Linked DNA regions of Drosophila melanogaster. The protein of the gene in region 1 interacts with the protein of each later gene in a pairwise test. Each region holds a gene or a part of one and is shown in the gene's direction. Other genes may lie near its edges.

Region 1 (6,158 bases):
TCGATGGCCTCCTTGTGCTTGCGATCTTTGGCCAGCTGGGTGCAGCGAATGAGCAGCGCCTCGAATTCCACCTGCGGGTAGGTCTGAGCTAGCTTTTGGCTAAGCTGTTGCACTTGGTCGCCGGCATTAGTGTAAAGTGCTAGCAGACAGTTGTTGAGGGCTATGACCTGCTTCTGGCGCGAGGTGAGCCTAGACTCACAGGCGTCGGCTAGGGCAGCGCGTATCTTCTTCTTGGAATCGAAGACGTTCTGGTCCTTATTGACCACCACCAAGTTGTTGCTTGCCACGGCCACCAGGGCTGCGTCCTTTGGCTTATGACGCAGGCAGTCCGCGTAGATGCTGGACGCCTCCTTGGTCTTGCCCTGCAGTTGGAGGACATAGGCCAGTTGGACGCGAATGACGTCTACCTCTTCAATGATCTCCTCCTCGGAGGCACACTCATCCTCAAGACAGAGCTTCTCGCTGGTGCGCAACTTGCGCTCGGCTTCAGCATACTTCTGCCGATTAGCCTGGATGCACGCGCTGTTGAAGTACTGCTCGTAGGTGTCTTCCGGCACCTCGGGCACCTCCTTGGTCTGATCCACAGCCAAGTTGGCGGCCACGGCGCTGAGATTGGTCCGACGCTCTTCCTCGTACTCGTCACTGGTGTTCTTAATGATGTCGCGATAGGAGTCTAGGCACTCATCGTAGCGCTCCAAGCGGTACAGGACCTGGGTTCGGAGCTCCTTAAGGTTCGGAGGCAGGGGCTGCAGACCCGCATCGTCTATGGTCTTAAGCGCTTGCTGCTGCTTGTTAAGTTGGTACTCGCAGTAGGCCTTCTCAAAGAAAAGCGAGGACAGTCGATTTTTCTCAATAAACTTGTAGGCCTCCTCGAACTTGGAAAGCTGCACCAGGCAGACTACCTTGCAGTGCAGGGCGGTGGGATCGTCGGGCGCTACGCCTAGGACTATGAGAGATCATAGGGAGTCATCTTCTGGATTATAACCTCGGTAATCTGAAAAACTTACTGCGATTCACTGCCTTGACAGCCTTGTCAAACTCCTGGTTATTGCCGAACTTATTCACATCAGCGTAAGCCGCCTTTATGAGCGCCTCCTTGGGATTAGCGTCCTTTGACATCCTGTTTGCTCAGCACGTTAGTGGGTGGTAATATATATTTTATTCACTGACTTAAACTTTCGACTTTCCGTTTAACATGCAAGTTTTTACAGCTGTAGACACATCAGCAATGCGGACCTGCCAGATCGCTTCTGTGTGCAACCAGAGATGCCAGATGGCGGAAACAGTTAAGACATTTAATTTTTTAAACTATTTACATTTAATTAATAACTTATGCATAAATATCTATGAATGGGACATTTTATTATTAGTTATTAAAAACTGAAACGCTAAATGATGTGTACTAAAATCTTAATCCATGAAGTGCATTTCACTGTTTGATTATCAATTTCGTTTCACTATTTGCCATTATGGCACATGTAATTCATTAAATAATTGTTTTTTAATTCTTTGTTAAGTTATAATTTTCTTGTTCATCTATATCCACACACTTCTTTGAGCCGCTGGTATTTTGGGCTCCGCGTATCTGGCCACACTTGCATATTCGCTGGCGACGCCTTTGATCCAAACTCTGCGCCCGGATTATTGGATTATTTGACTTGACTATTGGAAAATGTCCGTTGAGGTGGATTTCGTCGACAAGAAGGAGGTGCACCTCCGCACCCTGAAGCAGTCCGGTCACGTGGGATTCGACAGCTTGCCTGACCAACTGGTCAACAAGAGTGTCCAGAATGGATTCGTCTTCAACGTCATGTGTATAGGTGTGTATATGCGGGTGAACTTTGCGTGTGTGCGTGTGTATGCGGCACAGTGAATCAACCGAAGTTTTGCTTGCATACAAAACAGTGGTGACCAAAGCAATAGCACTGATTTTTTATATTCCATAAAGGAGTCACTTGGAGAAGGTTTCAAACTTTTGTTGCTTCTTAACTCAAAGATGGCTTTGTTTGCACACCAATTAGAAATTGGACATACAGTGGTAGCTCGATGCAGAGAGAATGAAATAAAAACCGAGGTGTGTGCTTTTTATTTGTTAAACTTTAATACGAGTAAAATCAGTAAAATCATATTAGAAATACAATTATTTATTGAAAGCAAAGACTATTGCACAGCACATCTTGAAATAAAGATGCTATTGTTTTGAACACCGCTGTGCTATGTACTCAAGTGTCTCATGTTGGAGTGCATTGCTCAGATAAAGTGAATCACTTAGGTACATAAAAGCGGGTAAACAATTGAAATAACCAGACGCCCAGATACGATTAGTATGCAAAGTGGCCGGCAATCGATTGCCTCCGCCACTTTCTACAATTTCACCCTGACACCAATGCCGCAGTGCTTCTATGGCCAATTGAGCTCACTTAGGCTAAGGTTCCCCAAATCTGGCACAAATCTGACCCGCATTTCGAAATCTTTACGCTCCGCAGGCGAAACCGGACTGGGCAAGTCGACGCTGATGGACACGCTGTTCAACACCAGCTTCGAGTCCACGCCGAGTCCCCACACTTTGCCGAGCGTCAAGTTGAAGGCACACACCTACGAGCTGCAGGAGAGCAATGTGCGACTCAAGCTCACCATCTGCGACACGGTTGGCTACGGCGATCAGATCAACAAGGACGACTCGTTCAAGGCGGTGGTGGACTACATCGACGCACAGTTCGAGAACTATCTGCAGGAGGAGCTGAAGATCAAGCGATCGCTGGTGACATGCCACGACAGCCGCATCCACATCTGCCTCTACTTTATTTGCCCCACTGGGCACGGCCTCAAATCGCTGGACCTGGTGTGCATGAAGAAGCTGGACAGCAAGGTGAACATAATTCCGGTGATTGCCAAGGCGGATACCATTTCCAAGGTTGAGCTACAGCGCTTCAAGGCGAAGATCATTCAGGAGCTAAACGCCAATGGAGTGCACATCTACCAGTTCCCCACCGACGATGAGACGGTGGCCGAGACCAACACCAGCATGAACTCGCACATTCCCTTCGCCGTGGTGGGCAGCACGGAGTTTATTAAGGTGGGCAACAAGCTCATCCGCGCTCGCCAGTACCCCTGGGGCACGGTGCAGGTGGAGAACGAGACGCACTGCGACTTTGTGAAGCTGCGCGAGATGCTCATTCGCACCAACATGGAGGATATGCGCGAAAAGACACACACGCGCCACTACGAGCTGTATCGCCAGAAGAGGCTGGAGCAAATGGGCTTCAGCGATGTGGACAGCGACAACAAGCCCATCTCGTTCCAGCAGACGTTCGAGGCAAAGCGCTCCAACCATTTGGCCGAGCTGCAGTCCAAGGAGGAGGAGGTTCGTCAGATGTTCGTGCAGCGCGTTAAGGAGAAGGAGGCCGAGCTGAAGGAGAGCGAGAAGGACCTGCACGCCAAGTTCGAGAAGCTAAAGCGGGATCACGCCGAGGAGAAGCGCAAGCTGGAAGAGTCGCGCAAGGCGCTCGAGGAGGACTACCTTGACTTCCAGCGGCGCAAGCAGCAGTTGGCCACCGCCCACCACACGCTCACCCTCGGCAAGAGCAAGAAGAAGTAGAATCCGGCGCCGCCGCCTCACAATGTATTGAGAATTCTGTGCGGTTCGCTTATCCCAAAGTAATTATTGCTTTCTCATCTCGTTGTCTTTCATTTGTACTATTAAGTTTACTTCAAATATTAACATATACACAACTACACGCATATGTACGCAGGCATATAATGATTATGTATTTACAACTAACGAATAAATCGAACTTAGTATTTTAACAAAGTAGAAAAGAGCTGTTTGCCGGAAACTTGTATTCAAAAAATTGTAAACTTTTGTCGATATAATGTGTTTTTAAGTGTGTATTGAAGGCACCGCTGGATAAAGACAACAAAATAACATTTTATCTAAGATTATCCTGGTTTCCTTAGAAGTCACTGATTGATATGTATCAATACATATTAAGTTTATATTTTCCTTGAATTTCTTTTAAGCTCCGCTTTTTAAATACAAAAACATGGTAATTTGAATTTCAAGATTGGCGGGCTTTTCGTAGGACGTAAGTGTAGTACGGCCTTATTTTACTTGTCTTGTGCTTGCCACCTGGTCACACTGTTACCCACTCATTCACTGCAGGCTGCAAAAATTATAGAACAAATTAAAAACGCAATAATAGAATCACCGCAGCGAATTCGACGCAATCACGGAGTCCAGTGCTCCGTAACCCAAACGAAAGCAATTAACCGTGTTCAACGTAGAGAATAGTCCATGAAAGTGGGTGTATCCGTTGGCAAAAAGCAAGATACCCCTTTGTGTTTGTTTTTTGTTCGTTATAATTTTGTTTGTCGCTCGGTTTGGATTGCGATTTAATGGTAAGGGAGGGGACTCGCCGCAGGGGTGCTCCCAAGTGATTTTCCATAGCCAGCGCCGCCGAGTGGACGGGAAATGCCAATCGGCATGACGAACATGTCGCCAGCAGCGTCATCACTGGTTTTCCTCGCTCTTCTGCAGACAGGTATGGATAATGCTAATGGTGGCAGTGGGTAGTGGTTAATGGTTAATGGCTGGTGCAGTGTGGATATGGTAGTCCAGAAACGGGGTCATTAATGATTTCCCTCCGACATTGCAGTTACCTGCTACACCGTCATCATCACTGCTCCCGAACAGGCCCTCATCGGATCCACCATCAATGTGTCCGCCCAGCTCTTCGATGGCGACAAACCGGCTGACGGAGGCAGGCCCTACAGGTTCACATGGTCCGACAGTGCTGGCCATCGAAAGGTAACGATTCCACCTCCATTTCCCCAACTGCTCCCCCTGCAGAACGTGTTCAAACAAAGAAAACGGTGACACGACTAATTGCCTGCGAATGCAAACGCCAATAGTGCAAGCAAATCCACCAGCCTAGGGTTCGCATCTACGCCCATCAAACTGGCTCATTAAAATGGTCAGGAGAACTAGTACTAGGTGGTTTGCCTGCCATCAACGCAGCAGAACAGTATTTCATTAATGCAAATATCTCTGATTACAAAATATTTTGAAAGTTCTCGATTTCGGTTAAATTTAAAGTTTTAAGCTCCTGCTAATAGACCATTACAAAAGTTTGTTCTAAATCGATATCACAACTCGTAATTGCTAAACAAGAATTACTCTTTAGATCAAAAGACGTAACTGTTTTTATTCAAAATGCATTTTCAAGAAAAAATCTTTAGAAACCTTATTTCAAATTCAAACTTAAGATTTTTATATATAAGCTTATTAACTAACTAACATGAGCATATGTAATATTGAACATAATTATACTGATCCGTATCTGTTTCTTTAAATATTATCAAATGAAATTATCAATGTTAATGATTCTTATTCCATAGAAGTCATAAATATTTTATTATTTACGATGACTAAAAACACATTTTAAACACCCTAAGCTAGAGCTTACATATACAAACAGATGCGAATACCAGTTCTAATCTCAGCCCTGTGCCATCAATTGAAATGGCGTCATTTGAATGGTAATTTTGCACAATTACTATTAAGCGACAGCTTTTCCGATTGTGCCTGGTACGTGGCCATATCAGTGCCAAACGGTGGCTGCTATTGTGAACGAATTTGCATGCAGAGTGGCTTAAAAGTGATACCAAATAACACTAAACACTTCTCTTTGTGCCCACAGGTGATTGAAACGAACAGCGTTAGCAGCAATTGGTCTGTGGTCTTCACGCAAGAACAACCGGCGACGCATGTCATCAAGGTGGAAGTGGAGAAGTTCGTCACATTTTTTTGGGTGACGGAGGCTAAGGCCTCGAGGGGAATCAAGCTGGACAGCTTGCTCGGCGGCAGCCTGGAGCTGATTCAGAACAATGTGATGCGACCCCATGAGTTTGTGTCCACCCAGGAGGCGGTGAATCACAGCGTATCACTTTCCGATGCGGACCTACTTTTTCTGCAGTCGAAGGGTTATCGCATTCTGACGTATTGGTTTCAGAACTGCACATATCTCGGCATGTCCAGTGCGTTGGACTATGTGGCCACATATCCGAAAGCTGAGCAATATTATGACATGGAGGCGTTAGTGGTGGCTTCACTGGAACTTCCGCCGGAGCCGACGCCCTCAACTACGACGACCACCACC
Region 2 (4,941 bases), on another chromosome or scaffold:
CATTCTCTTAATAGAGAACTTTTTTTAATGGAGTCATTACGTCCACTTTGCTAGAAGCTTCTTTTCTGAACTATACGAGTAGCATTACTATCATTACTAGCATGACATAATTTCGAAAAATCCCATTACTTTACCAAATTATAAAATTGCTCACGACATTCGATGACCATAGCATTTCTGTGAAATTTATCGCATTAATAACTACGATGAAAGGGACTCTCATTCCAGATACTTAAAACCACTCAAGTGGAAAACAGCCACAAAAAATATCTTGTACAAGTTGATATAAAAGTGTTTATGGCGTAGGTCAATGATGAGATTAAATTCTGAATATAAAATGAGAATAATGTTATTATTTTTGTGTAATCGCATTTTACGTTTTTACGTTATTTTAAAGTACACTATAGAATATTGGATGATTATTAAATATTCATGATTTCATCAAGTTTTCTTTATATTACAAAACATTTGGACCAAAAACTTTTGCAGATTATTATTCGCACCAGTTATCATTTTTAAAAGCATATTCACAGAAAATATGTAACCCCTTTAATGATCAGAAGCTTAAAGGTCACGATCTAGTCTGACATTTTCACACCAACATTGCCAAAACATTCACCAGCCCGAGGCACTTTTCCCGGAATTTTCTTGTTAGCTTCAAGCTTTGCCTTTTATTGCCAGCAATTCTATTGTCTTTTATGTCAACTCACCAGACACAAGAGTTGATGAATTTTGTCGCTTCGCAGGATGGGCGACTTTAGAAGGCACTCTCGCACAGACACAGGCACACTCACACTCACGCAGCAATCGAGCCTGAATGTGTTTGTTGTTGTTGTGTTGTATTGATGTACGTATTGGTGTGTTTATTTCGATGCGCGCCAAAAAGTATGCAATGCGAACTGTGAGTCTTGTGTTGCGGGTCTGCGTTTCGGTTTCCGACTGACGATGGCCTGATGGCTGGTGGCTTGATGTCTGATGGCTGGTAATGTGATTAGTTGGCCCGTCTATCGATGCTAGTGCGCTACTGTGTGCGAGTATATTTTAATTTAATTATGTCGCTCTCGTTTCAATTACGAAAACCGCTCGCAGCGAAGACACGCACTAATAAACAAAGGCCAGCAATAACAGAATAACGAAAAAGTAAGCGACGGCTGGTATCGCTGCCGAGGGAAAACTGAAGGAAAATGTGTCGAATGAGTGGTACCAAGACCAAGACCAACCAGCGAATGTGTTCTGCCTCTCCCTCTCCGCTCTCGCTTTCTCACTCTTTGTCCGGCTATTAGCTGCTCTCTGGCTTTTCCGCTGATGAAAGTGCTGGCAATCGAATGCAACTGCCTCCCACAAGCGACTGAATGCGTTGCATATGCCAAGGCGCACGTTGAGTCCACGAGGAACGTGTGAAAGTGGAACGCGCCAGACTGGAGTAAATTTTGAGTGAGTACAAAGTGCACTTTCGAGTGCCCGGGAACGAGTGGAATTGTGCAACACCTGTGCAAAGGGGATTGTAAATGGGGTGGCCAGCACTATTCTTTCTTTATCGCCGGAAAAACGGGCAGTCGAAATTTTAATTGGGTTTGTCCAACTTACGGCACACAATTCAATTGAACCGCTCCCCCACTCGGGGCTCATTAACCTGGAGGGTTGGAACTATATCGGTGGGACATAAACTCGTTACGATTGCCTTGGTTTTTCGTAGGGTAGTTGCTGTTCTAGAACTTCCCTAGGGTTCATTTTTTTACGCACATGTTGTTTCATTTTCTCCGCTTTTTATGAGTTTCTAAGCTAACATCAATAAACTAAAACGTAGTGGTGGTATTCCAATTTCAATACGTGCTAGCTGTTCTAATTAAAAACGTAAAAATGCTGAAAAGTCAAAGCAACTTTAATATTATAAAGCATGAAGGTAAAATATCAATATAAATTATAGTAATACGGCTGCAATGGGGCTTATAAGGTATATTGGATAGCAATCAATACAATGGTGGATCAATGCATGGGAGCTTCCATTAATGCCGTATCAGAGTTCAACATAATTATAATTTGTGTCCCTCGTGGCACGTTTACATTAGCAGGGCATCTGGGCACCATCAACAGCTGACACAGAAACACTTTTACTGGCTGCACTTTGTAAAATGGATCTCTCGGCGGCATTACCTGAAAGCGCTCCCAAAAGATGCCATTCTCGGTCCGTCTACTGTCATCCGGCATGGAGATGATGACGCAGCTTAAGGGCGGCTGTACACCACCAGCTCCACAGTCAACCTCACCCCGCAATCCCGGCCAGATTTCCCCTGACAATGACTGGCACTCGTTCACGGACTCCGGGGCTGACTTCTCCGCCGCCAGCAGGTGTTTCCATTAACATCGGGACAATAAAGGCAGCGCACGCACTGCAATATGCAACAGTTGCAGACACGCAGGAAAAGCGTTGGAAATGGGAAATATGGCTGGCTGTGGGTGGTAGGTGGTGGGTGTTGGGTGCTTAAACGCACATTTGTAAGTAGTTGTGTAATCTATCCATGAACGTCGCTTCCGCTTTGCATTTTATATGCTCAACGCATCGTTTGGCCGGCGCAAATTGAGTTTCGTTGTCGTTGCTGCTGCTGAAATATCTGCTCTCGGATGGATAGATGGATGGATGGATAGATAGATGTCTGGATGAATGCCTCGGATATATCCCTTTTCCCCACAGCCATCGATTGGTAATGACGTTTGGTAGAGCCCACCCACCTTTAGGTTCATCCACTTTGTGGCTTAAGGCAAGAACGAGCATCAAGCCAATTAAAACTTCTAGCCCATCAACTTAATTAAGAAAAGGCCGAAATTATGCGACTATCATAAAAGTGCGGTGAACGTACGGTATCAAGAAAGATTTTCCTAATTGGTAAGCCATAAATTGTATTAATAAATTTTATTAGTTATACACCTGCTTAGAACGAATAACCTATGTATTTGCCAGACGTTGTAAACCGTTTTCAACGCTTTAATATGCTTTTAGATGCGGATTGTTATTTCATTATACAGATGTTAACATCCAGAAACAGTCCGTTTTAAGGATTGGGACTAGCAGGTCATACATAGTAACATGTTCAAGTATTGTTTTATATGCGTCATTCTAGCCTGGGCTTCTCGTGATGTTCTCGCTAACAAAACGGAAAATCCGCTGCTAATTGATCAAGTGGCTATAAATCAACAACAATGGTTCACATTCATTGCGCTGAAGGAAAGTGAAATGCAACAGAAAATAGTGAGGATCGAAAGATCGATAGAAGAACGATTGATGGCCATGCAAAGCAAGTTGGCATACGCACTGAACGAGCTGCAGACCATAATGGGCAACCAGAGTGTGGAGACTCTCGAGAAACTACGAATCTCGCACAGGATTAATCCGGCGCTTTTCCAGAGAATGGGCACAAGACGCTTCTACATTGAGAAGGAAAACAAACAAAATTGGTTTGGCGCCTCAAACACCTGTCGTCAATTGGGCGGTCACATTGCCACCATCAGGGATGAGCAGGAGTTTAATGAGATCTTCTCAAGAGCGCCGGCCGGCGTCTTTTGGATAGATATGAATGCTATGTTCAAGAACGGCCTTTTTGCATCATCACTCACCGGCAGATCGCCGCCGTTCTTTAAGTGGAAGAAAGAAGAAAGGGGCAATAAGTTCGATTGCGTTAATGTATACAACAAGGAAATGTACAATGAAAATTGTTTCAACACCCATTTGTTCATATGTCAAGCCGAGCAGTGGGATTGATGCGAATGCGAAAATAATAAATTAAGTTATTTTCATTTTGCATCTCGGCAATTTACCGACAGCTTTTAATAAAGTTATGAGCCTACTGTCTTTTTTATTTTACTAGCCCAAAAATGAAGTACATAACTGTTTTCTCAGCCAAGAGGATCATTAAGATTATTGGGTAATGAAAATTAAAATATTTTCCCTTAAGTACAAAACCAGGCCAATCCATATGGGGTTTCCATCAAGTGCCCAGAAAGCGGTGCTTGGTATTTCAAAATGCCTTACACACATGACGTGTCCACGTTCTGTGCAGAAATAAGGGCGGCCAGTGCCACGCCCCTCCACAAGGAAGCCACCCAAATGGTGACAAAAATGCTTTTGATTTGTGGGCCATTCGCACACCCATAGCCACCCACGCTTATTAGAATCCTGCCATTGTGGCAGCCAAAGTGCAACTAGCAGAGACAGATAGCAAACATCCAACAATGTGGAGCAGAGCGCAATTTATGACCAGGGGCGAGATTTCGAAACGGACTAATAGGATTGCGGCTCCAATTTTTGGGGCTTTTCATTTCAGATACCTCCGCACATACGATGCAAAATTATATCTCGAGTTTTCACTTACGTTATTATACGCTCTAGTGTGCAAGTCTTTAGTTTTTCCAATTATTACTATTCAATAATACTAATATACCAATATTGTATTTTGTTATAATAATAAGATGCTATTACCGTTACATTATTAACAAATGGGTAGTTGGAATTCCCCTTTCAAAAATAAAGATATAAAAAAAATCGATCTCTATGTTGTAGGGAACTAGTTCATTGAGATTAGTTGCAGAACTCATTGGAATTATTCAAAACTCATTATTCAAAATATAGATAAATAAATATAGAAGATATATACTTAAATGTGTTATTTTGGAGTGACTTCAGTTAAGTTCGAATTATTTAATTGAATTTACCGCGCATTAGTGTTACCATTTTACACTTACACCATCAAAATATTTCTAGTATTTTCAATCGGTCGTGAACTGGGCAATGAAAAGCCATCTGGCAACACTGTTCCATGACGCTTGAATTTTAGCGGACAAACTCGAAAAGAAATAGCAAAAAGACGACGCTTGCTACGAAAATAGTTATTCCTCGCAAAAACCCTGTAACGTGTAAACAAAGGCCGCTGCCACGATGCCGCGCAC
Region 3 (6,984 bases), on another chromosome or scaffold:
CAGAACGCAGCTTCGCTCAGTGCGTCAGTTTCTAAGGGAGGAAGTCGTCCGCCACGAGGAAACATCCACAGCAGATCACATCGTGCTCACTCCCGAGCAGGAGGAGGCCGAGTTCCAGAAATGCCTGGATGCCAATGCTGCCTGGAACGCTGCCATAGCCAAGGAGCGTGATCAGCGATTGGCCAAGAAGCGTGAGGAAAAGGTGGCCTATATTCAGGAGCGATTGGAGGCACAACAGCTGCGCGAGGAGGAGCGCAAGGAGCAGGCCAACCAGCGGGTGCTGCTCGAGATTGAGCGTTCCAAGAACTATATCACTAGGGAAAACTTGGATGCAGCCATTGAGACAGCGTTGGCCAATCCCGTGGACCACAATTTCGCCATCGATATGGCCGGTAATCTTTACCACGGACGAAGCACCTCTCAGCTCCCGGACGCCACTCCCGAACCCAACCAGCAAGTTTTGAGTAATTAATTAATGCAGTGTCTTAGTTTGTTGTTACATTAAAATGCTTTTTATAGGTTTCTAACCAAAGTTGAAAGTCCGTGTTTTTTTTTATTTTTCTGCACAATAAACAACACACTTAAGTATATTTGATTTGCGCAAAAGAATAGGAATTGGATAACCTAGCTATTGTAAAGCGATTTGCTAGAACTAGAATACTTTTCAAATTTTAAGACCGTATTTGAAATTATAATAATCACTTAATTTGAACATATAATATATCAACAATCCATTAACCTAAAAATTAATCTTGGGTCATTGCATTAAGTATTGATGGCTTAATTTACGTTACATATCCCCAAGTTCCAAGCCCATCTTTCTTGGAGTCTCTTTTATGTTCCATATTCGAGTACAATTGTTAATAACCTTTTGAAAAGCATTTGTATTATAAAAATTTCTATATTTAACTTTTATATACGGCATTTAGAATAGGAATAACTTAAGCTTAGGCGCAGCCTATTTACTATATTACATATCTACCATGGGGAAGTGGGTGCTACGTGCCCGGTACTGGATTCGTTCGCTTGGATGCCGCATCCTGCTGCTGGAAAAGGTGCACCCAATCTGGAGTGGCCTTTAGTTTGGCTTGAATGGGTCCCAAGTTGATCATGTTTCCACTACGTTGCTCGCGATTGGCGGTTACAGACATGAGTTCCTGCAGAAAACCCGGATCGAGACCCATATCCAAGTCAAAGCGTGTGTCCCCCAATTGGAGTTTAACGCGACCGGATTTGTACCTCAGAATCTTGCCGATCTGCCCTTCTTCCAGCTGCCGTAGTACACTGCCCTTGGGTCCGTTTGAGCATTTGTCTGCAGGACTTGCTGGTTCCGATTCACTGGTGGCCTGATGATCTCCTTTAGACGGTTCCGGATCTTCGGAATCGTCGCCCACACATGGCAACACATCTGGCAGTTGCATGAGAAAGATCTGCGCTTCGCTGGAGTCCAGAAAGTTACCAATGGTGCGTGGGTAGCGACCGTACTGCAGCGGAGGTTCCTCTAAACTGGCTGCCTGGGCAGCCACATGCAGCTGTTGCAAATGCTGGGCCACTGCCAAAGTGTCTAGGAGCGAAATCAAATTAGATTATGCCATTTTTAAAGCTTAGCGCCTTACCCTTAAGTGTTGAGGTTGAACTGGCGATTTCTTGCTTCGCAATCGGTGTCTTCTGGGTGACCCAGAGTCCTAACGTTTATAAACAAATAAAGCATGAATTTCTTCTGCCCGTGTGCATCAAAAAGTGCTTGTAAAACGTACCCTCTTTTAGCAGGATGGGCCTGAGTGCCATCTCAGTCTTGTTAGCCTCCTCTTCGCTGAGCTCGCCGCCACTGGCGTCCGACTCGCCCAAGAGCTCCTTGATCCGCTCGGCCTGGCTCTTGTCGTCCTTGCGATCCACCCGTTTCCTGGTCACGGACACCTCCTCACCGCCCCGTGCATATGCCGTTCCATTTCCTGTGGACCTTCGCACATGAACATCGCCTGCTCCTTCGGAGAAGAGTCCCTGGGTTTGGATGAGCGTGGAGTTGCCCCCGCCAGCGGAATTTCCACCTCGACCACGTGTTGCTCCAGTGCCGTTGCCACGTCCACCTCTGCGGCCGCTCCTTGGCTGCGTGGTGTCCTTGGATGTCTTGACATTGCTGTGAATCAAATGAGATGATGAAAAGAATGACTCCCCCTGGGCCATTCCACAACTCACGCATTTTTATTGCGCACAGCATTCAAATTGGGAGCAAAGACCTTTTTGCTGGCTGTCCCAGCGCCGCGCCCACCAAGGGTCAAGTCGCGGGCGGGGGTCAGCCTGGTCATTCCGTTTAGCGTCTCCAGTGGGCGTGCACCGCCACCAGACTGACCATTATTCGTGGTGGACCCACTGGCTCCACTGATGGTCGAAGCTGCTGCTGTGGTGACCGTCATCCTCTTCGCTGGCATGGCGTTCCATTCGCGCCGCCCGTCACCTCGAAAATTCGACCGAAGTCGCTGGGTTCTGGTTTCCCCGTAAGTCCTTTAGTTTTGGGCTAGAATTTCCGCAGAATTCTTTGATTTTCCTTTGAGGTTAATGGGAAAGCTGAGTCGATACACCACATGCCGATACACCGCAGTCGATAGACTTGAGTGTAGCCAGATGACTTTGGTTTTGCTCAATATTAATCGGATTTTGAAACTGTGATTGTAGCGGGTTTCTATCGGCGCTTAAAAAAAACCAGCATAATAACAAAGAGCGATATTACAAAACTGGCTTTTTGTTGCAGTAAATCCTAATGTAGTATTTTTCTATGCAACATGGATTCGAAACATAATCTCTATTTTGGTTGGGCAAATCCATCGTTGCGATCAAATCCATCTGGCAACGCTAGTTGAGCTCTACATTTTATAAACAAAGCAAACCGGCAAAATAATCTACGACTTTCCATGGCCAAAAAGTAACGAAATATAGCGGAAACTGGAGGAACCATGGCCAAGCGCTTTTCTGCCATGAAAGACTTCGCGCGGTGCAAGAAACCGCGCCTGGATGTTAGCGTTACCCGCGGATCAGCGCGACCCAGTCCACCGAGGAACAATTTCGATGGGATTCTCTGGGACGACGATGACGATGTCATCCTGATGGCCACCCAGCTGGCGGAGGCGGAAATCGAGGCGGAGGAGCGGAAAAAGAAGGGCGGAACAGAGGTGGACATCGGCAACAGCGAGGTCACCTTCAGCGAATTTGCACCCACTTTTCAGGGCTCAACCAGCACACAGCAAATGTTTCCGCCGCCACCGCCGCCACAAAAGAAGCCTACTTCCCTGGATATGGATGCGATTTTCGCGGATGATGATGATTTCGATTTTCTGGCCGTTACCCTCATGGACAGTGAGCCACAAAAGATGCCGGAGCCGAAGACCAGCACAAGTAGGATAACTACCAGCAGCATAAGTGTTCAGCAGAAAACCACGACCACGACGACCATCAATGCCACGCAATCCCGCCAGCAGGAGCATCAGCTAAAGTTTCTCATGGATAGGATTGAAGCCCTTAAGCGGGAAAACGCGCAGCTGGAAAAGAATTTGGGCGACAGTAAGGAACGCAATGAGATCAAGTCTGGTGAGGTAGGTGGACATCGGGGTGGAACTATAACACCGATTCTAGACCTTACAGAAACTAATCCATTTATATTTATTTCTCTAGGTTTCCTTACTTCGTGATGAGCTGAAGCACTTGCGCCAGCAGCTGCAGGCTAGCAAAATGGAAAAGCTGGCTTTGGCCGACGAAACGAATCGGGATTGCAACAAAAAAGTGGCAGAAGCGGCCAAACAAATTGCGGCCAAGGACATCGAGTTGAAGATTAAGAACGCCGAGTTCTCAAAGTTGAAGACACAGCAAAAAGCCCATGAAAGAAGCATGAATTCCAGCATGAGCATTTTACAGGCTGCTCCAGATCCTTTGGAGAAACGCTTATCACTTCGCTTGAATAGGCTTAACATACACAGATCTGTGCCCGGGCTGAAAACCGATAATGGCAGTGTGTTCGAATACAGCGAAAATGAGGATCAGACTAAGAAACGAAGAAATCATTTTGAACTGGAATTAAAGCAACTGCTACTTCATTACGCTCGGCTGCAGGCAAAGCCGGAATCTGTGGATAACCTCCTGCCAAGAATACTCTCGTCGGTCGGCAAGGTATTCACGGAGTTTGCTTCGTATGCTCAAAGTTTGGACTTTCCACACAACTGCATGCTGTATCCCTACAATCCCCACAACCTAGAGGAGGAAGTTCATCGCATTTCCCTGACCCATCAGAGCTGTTTGTATGATAACGAAAAGGCTGTTCCGCTGCGTCGCTTCATAGCTACCTTGGCTTTGATTTGCCGGCGAGAGGAAAGGATTTCTAGAGGTCTCACGGAGTGGAAAGAAAATGATCTGGGACTGCTAGATATGGCTATTGAAGCTATCACAAAACTAGGATTTTCCTACGAGGTCGGCCAACACTTTGGATTGCTGGAAGCCTTGACTTCACTCCTAAATAGCCTCCTACAAGAAAATGCCCTTCTTCAACATAACGAGGAGCTACTCTTCGATCTGCTTAAGCAGTTAGTTTTTACTCGTCCCAGTCCTTGGGTTTTTGCTGAGCTTAGCTCCTGCTTTTTAAGCTGCCTTAGACATCCCCAACTTATGGATAAAATGTGTGTGAATAGTCCCAAGGACTGCTTTGTATCGGATCGCGTTCGCTCCGTTTATCGATTTGGTCCCGACTCCTGTTTACTTCAGGTCTACGCGGGCCTACTCGAGCTATGCTTCTTTAGTGAAACTCCTCTGCGGCAGGACTACTTTCAGTTGCTGCTCAAGATCGGAGGAAATCATGTGCGATTCGCGTTCGAGTGCTTCAAAAACCCACCGGATTTCATACTTGAAATGCTGCCTTACTTTGCCGACGATGGCGACGAGGACTCCAGCGATGGTACTCTGATGAAAACAGGCACCAGTCTGAGCTTCAACTCCACAGGAGCTGTGCAGGGATCGGTCTCCAATGGATCGACATCAGCGTCTGTTTCGAACCCGAATCAAAATTCAAATTCAAGTACAACGCAGCGAGGAAAAGGCTGCGAGTGCTATGTAAAGTTGTGCCTCAGTGCGGTAACAATTGTCTTCCAGGTGATGCACCAATGGATGTTGCACAGCAGGAAAGCAGGTGCGTTTGAGCTAAAAAAAAATCATTTTCATATGATCAATGACACGAATCAATATTTGTGCTTTCTATTTAGGCACCGAAGAAGTTGGCGAGATCTCCCGCATCGCAGTGCACCTTCTGTCCCTTGTCTTTCACGAGTATTACCTCACCTGTCTGTTTCGCGACTCCGAGGAGACGACCAAGCATTACCTTAGCCTCATATGCAACTGGTGGAGCGAGCATGCGAACCTGCTTGGTTTTCAGTCAATACATTGTAAATGACCTAACAACATTCCATATTTTCCGTTGCTAACTTTTTAAATATTTTCCTGTCATTTAGTGCGTTTGTTAAACCAACTGGTTAAAGCCCATTTCATGCTGAAACCCCTTCATCTGGAGGCCAAGCCCAATAATCCAGTCAACGACCTCTCCGAATGGAAACGCATTGTCAAGAATGCGGATGACCAAAGGGCTGTGAAGTCGGCTGTGACAGTTGATCCCAGCAAATTACTCAACACCGACTTCTTTAGTGCCCTTAAACGGGAGGAGAACACTTTTGAGTAGTTATAGTTAGCTTAAACGTTTTAGTAATATATACATATAGGTGTGGCGTTAATTTATTGTGAAGTTTCAAATGCTATGTTAAGAATTGAAAAGGCTCGCTGCACAAATTTAGAGCTTAAAAAACGCATTCCAAAATACAAATATGTAATGCAGCGTTTAAAGAAACCGCTAAATAATCGATTTTTCATTTCGATATCAATTTACGAATCGATAATACAAAATATTTGTTGGTGGTTCAGCTTATCGTTTCGAAGGAACTTGATAAAACAGCTGATATGGCTCAATTTAACCAGTTCAGTTTGCATGGAACTAGTTTGTAAGCGCGATGCTTTTCTTAATTTTGTAAATATTTAGATGTTTTTCAGCATTTACATTTTAAACCCGTGCTTATTGTGTATAAAATAATGTATTCTGATTAAAAGTTCAACGTGCACTTATGGTGCTTACTGCAATAAGCGTGATTCAATGCAAATGCTTATATTTGTTGATTTAATAAACATTCGCAAAGGTGGGTTCAAATAAACAAATACTTCCTTCTCACAATAATAAGAAAGTATCATTGTAATATGATCATAGAACAAAACATCTAAGAACTTTTGTTTTTTTCGTTTCACATGCATATATTTTTAACATGCATTTCTGTATACATATATATATATGTATATATGTATATATGTATATAAATATATATATGTATGTATGTAAGATGTATGATGTATGATATACGTATGTATTATGATCCTTCCCCAATGTAATCAGAAATCATTCCTTCATATGATTATACCTGTACTCGCATATACAGAATATTAAATACATCTCTTTTTACCAGTTAAACGATTATTAAACTAAACTCTTATTTATTTATTTAGCCGTTTATTTATCTTAAATGATATTTATTTCCTTATCGTTATTTTCTTTTCATTATCTTTACTATATCATCTAAAGACTGCTTAATATAGTGAGGCATATTTTAAGGAATTCATTTGTAGAAGAGCCGAAAATTGCTGAGCCTGAAATGTAATCCTCAAAATTTTTCCGTGAGGCAATCTTATCTTTATCATCTTCAACTCAAGAATATCATCACGTTGCTCTTAGCATATCTATGAAGATTTTCCAATTATCTTAACAATGTCCCCGTGTGCAAAGTTTAATTTCGACAAACTTAACCGATGGCCACTCAATGGCTCCACTTAACTAATTTTTATAAATTATAATTTTATCAAGTGGTTCAGTTAAGCCGCCGACAATTCCGCTTTGTTTGGGGTGTGCTTACC

What was found. Proteins that work in one complex are often made in the same cells at the same time.
Region 2: the proteins of Septin2 (region 1) and lectin-30A interact in a two-hybrid assay, tested with the Drosophila melanogaster proteins (one large-scale study listed by BioGRID).
Region 3: the proteins of Septin2 (region 1) and mus304 interact in a two-hybrid assay, tested with the Drosophila melanogaster proteins (one large-scale study listed by BioGRID).

Annotation. Positions count from the first base shown.
Region 1 is NT_033777.3:20,583,786-20,589,943, reverse strand, and holds Septin2 (septin 2), read left to right. Parts: upstream 1-1,587; 5' UTR 1,588-1,672; coding exon 1,673-1,820; exon of another isoform or gene 1,821-1,941; intron 1,942-1,948; exon of another isoform or gene 1,949-2,074; intron 2,075-2,486; coding exon 2,487-3,598; 3' UTR 3,599-3,815; downstream 3,816-6,158. Other genes in the region: Srp72 (signal recognition particle 72), read right to left, coding at 1-946, 1,008-1,119; CG16953 (uncharacterized protein), read left to right, coding at 4,472-4,541, 4,656-4,807, 5,700-6,158. UniProt on the Drosophila melanogaster protein: Involved in cytokinesis.
Region 2 is NT_033779.5:9,252,976-9,257,916, reverse strand, and holds lectin-30A (lectin-30A), read left to right. Parts: upstream 1-3,062; 5' UTR 3,063-3,085; coding exon 3,086-3,757; 3' UTR 3,758-3,841; downstream 3,842-4,941. Other genes in the region: borr (borealin-related), read left to right, coding at 4,931-4,941.
Region 3 is NT_037436.4:18,106,964-18,113,947, forward strand, and holds mus304 (mutagen-sensitive 304), read left to right. Parts: upstream 1-2,850; 5' UTR 2,851-2,951; coding exon 2,952-3,587; intron 3,588-3,666; coding exon 3,667-5,167; intron 5,168-5,240; coding exon 5,241-5,420; intron 5,421-5,486; coding exon 5,487-5,710; 3' UTR 5,711-5,884; downstream 5,885-6,984. Other genes in the region: mRpS26 (mitochondrial ribosomal protein S26), read left to right, coding at 4-472; Polr3D (RNA polymerase III subunit D), read right to left, coding at 999-1,564, 1,617-1,685, 1,758-2,137, 2,197-2,429. UniProt on the Drosophila melanogaster protein: DNA damage checkpoint protein required for chromosome break repair and for genomic stability during development.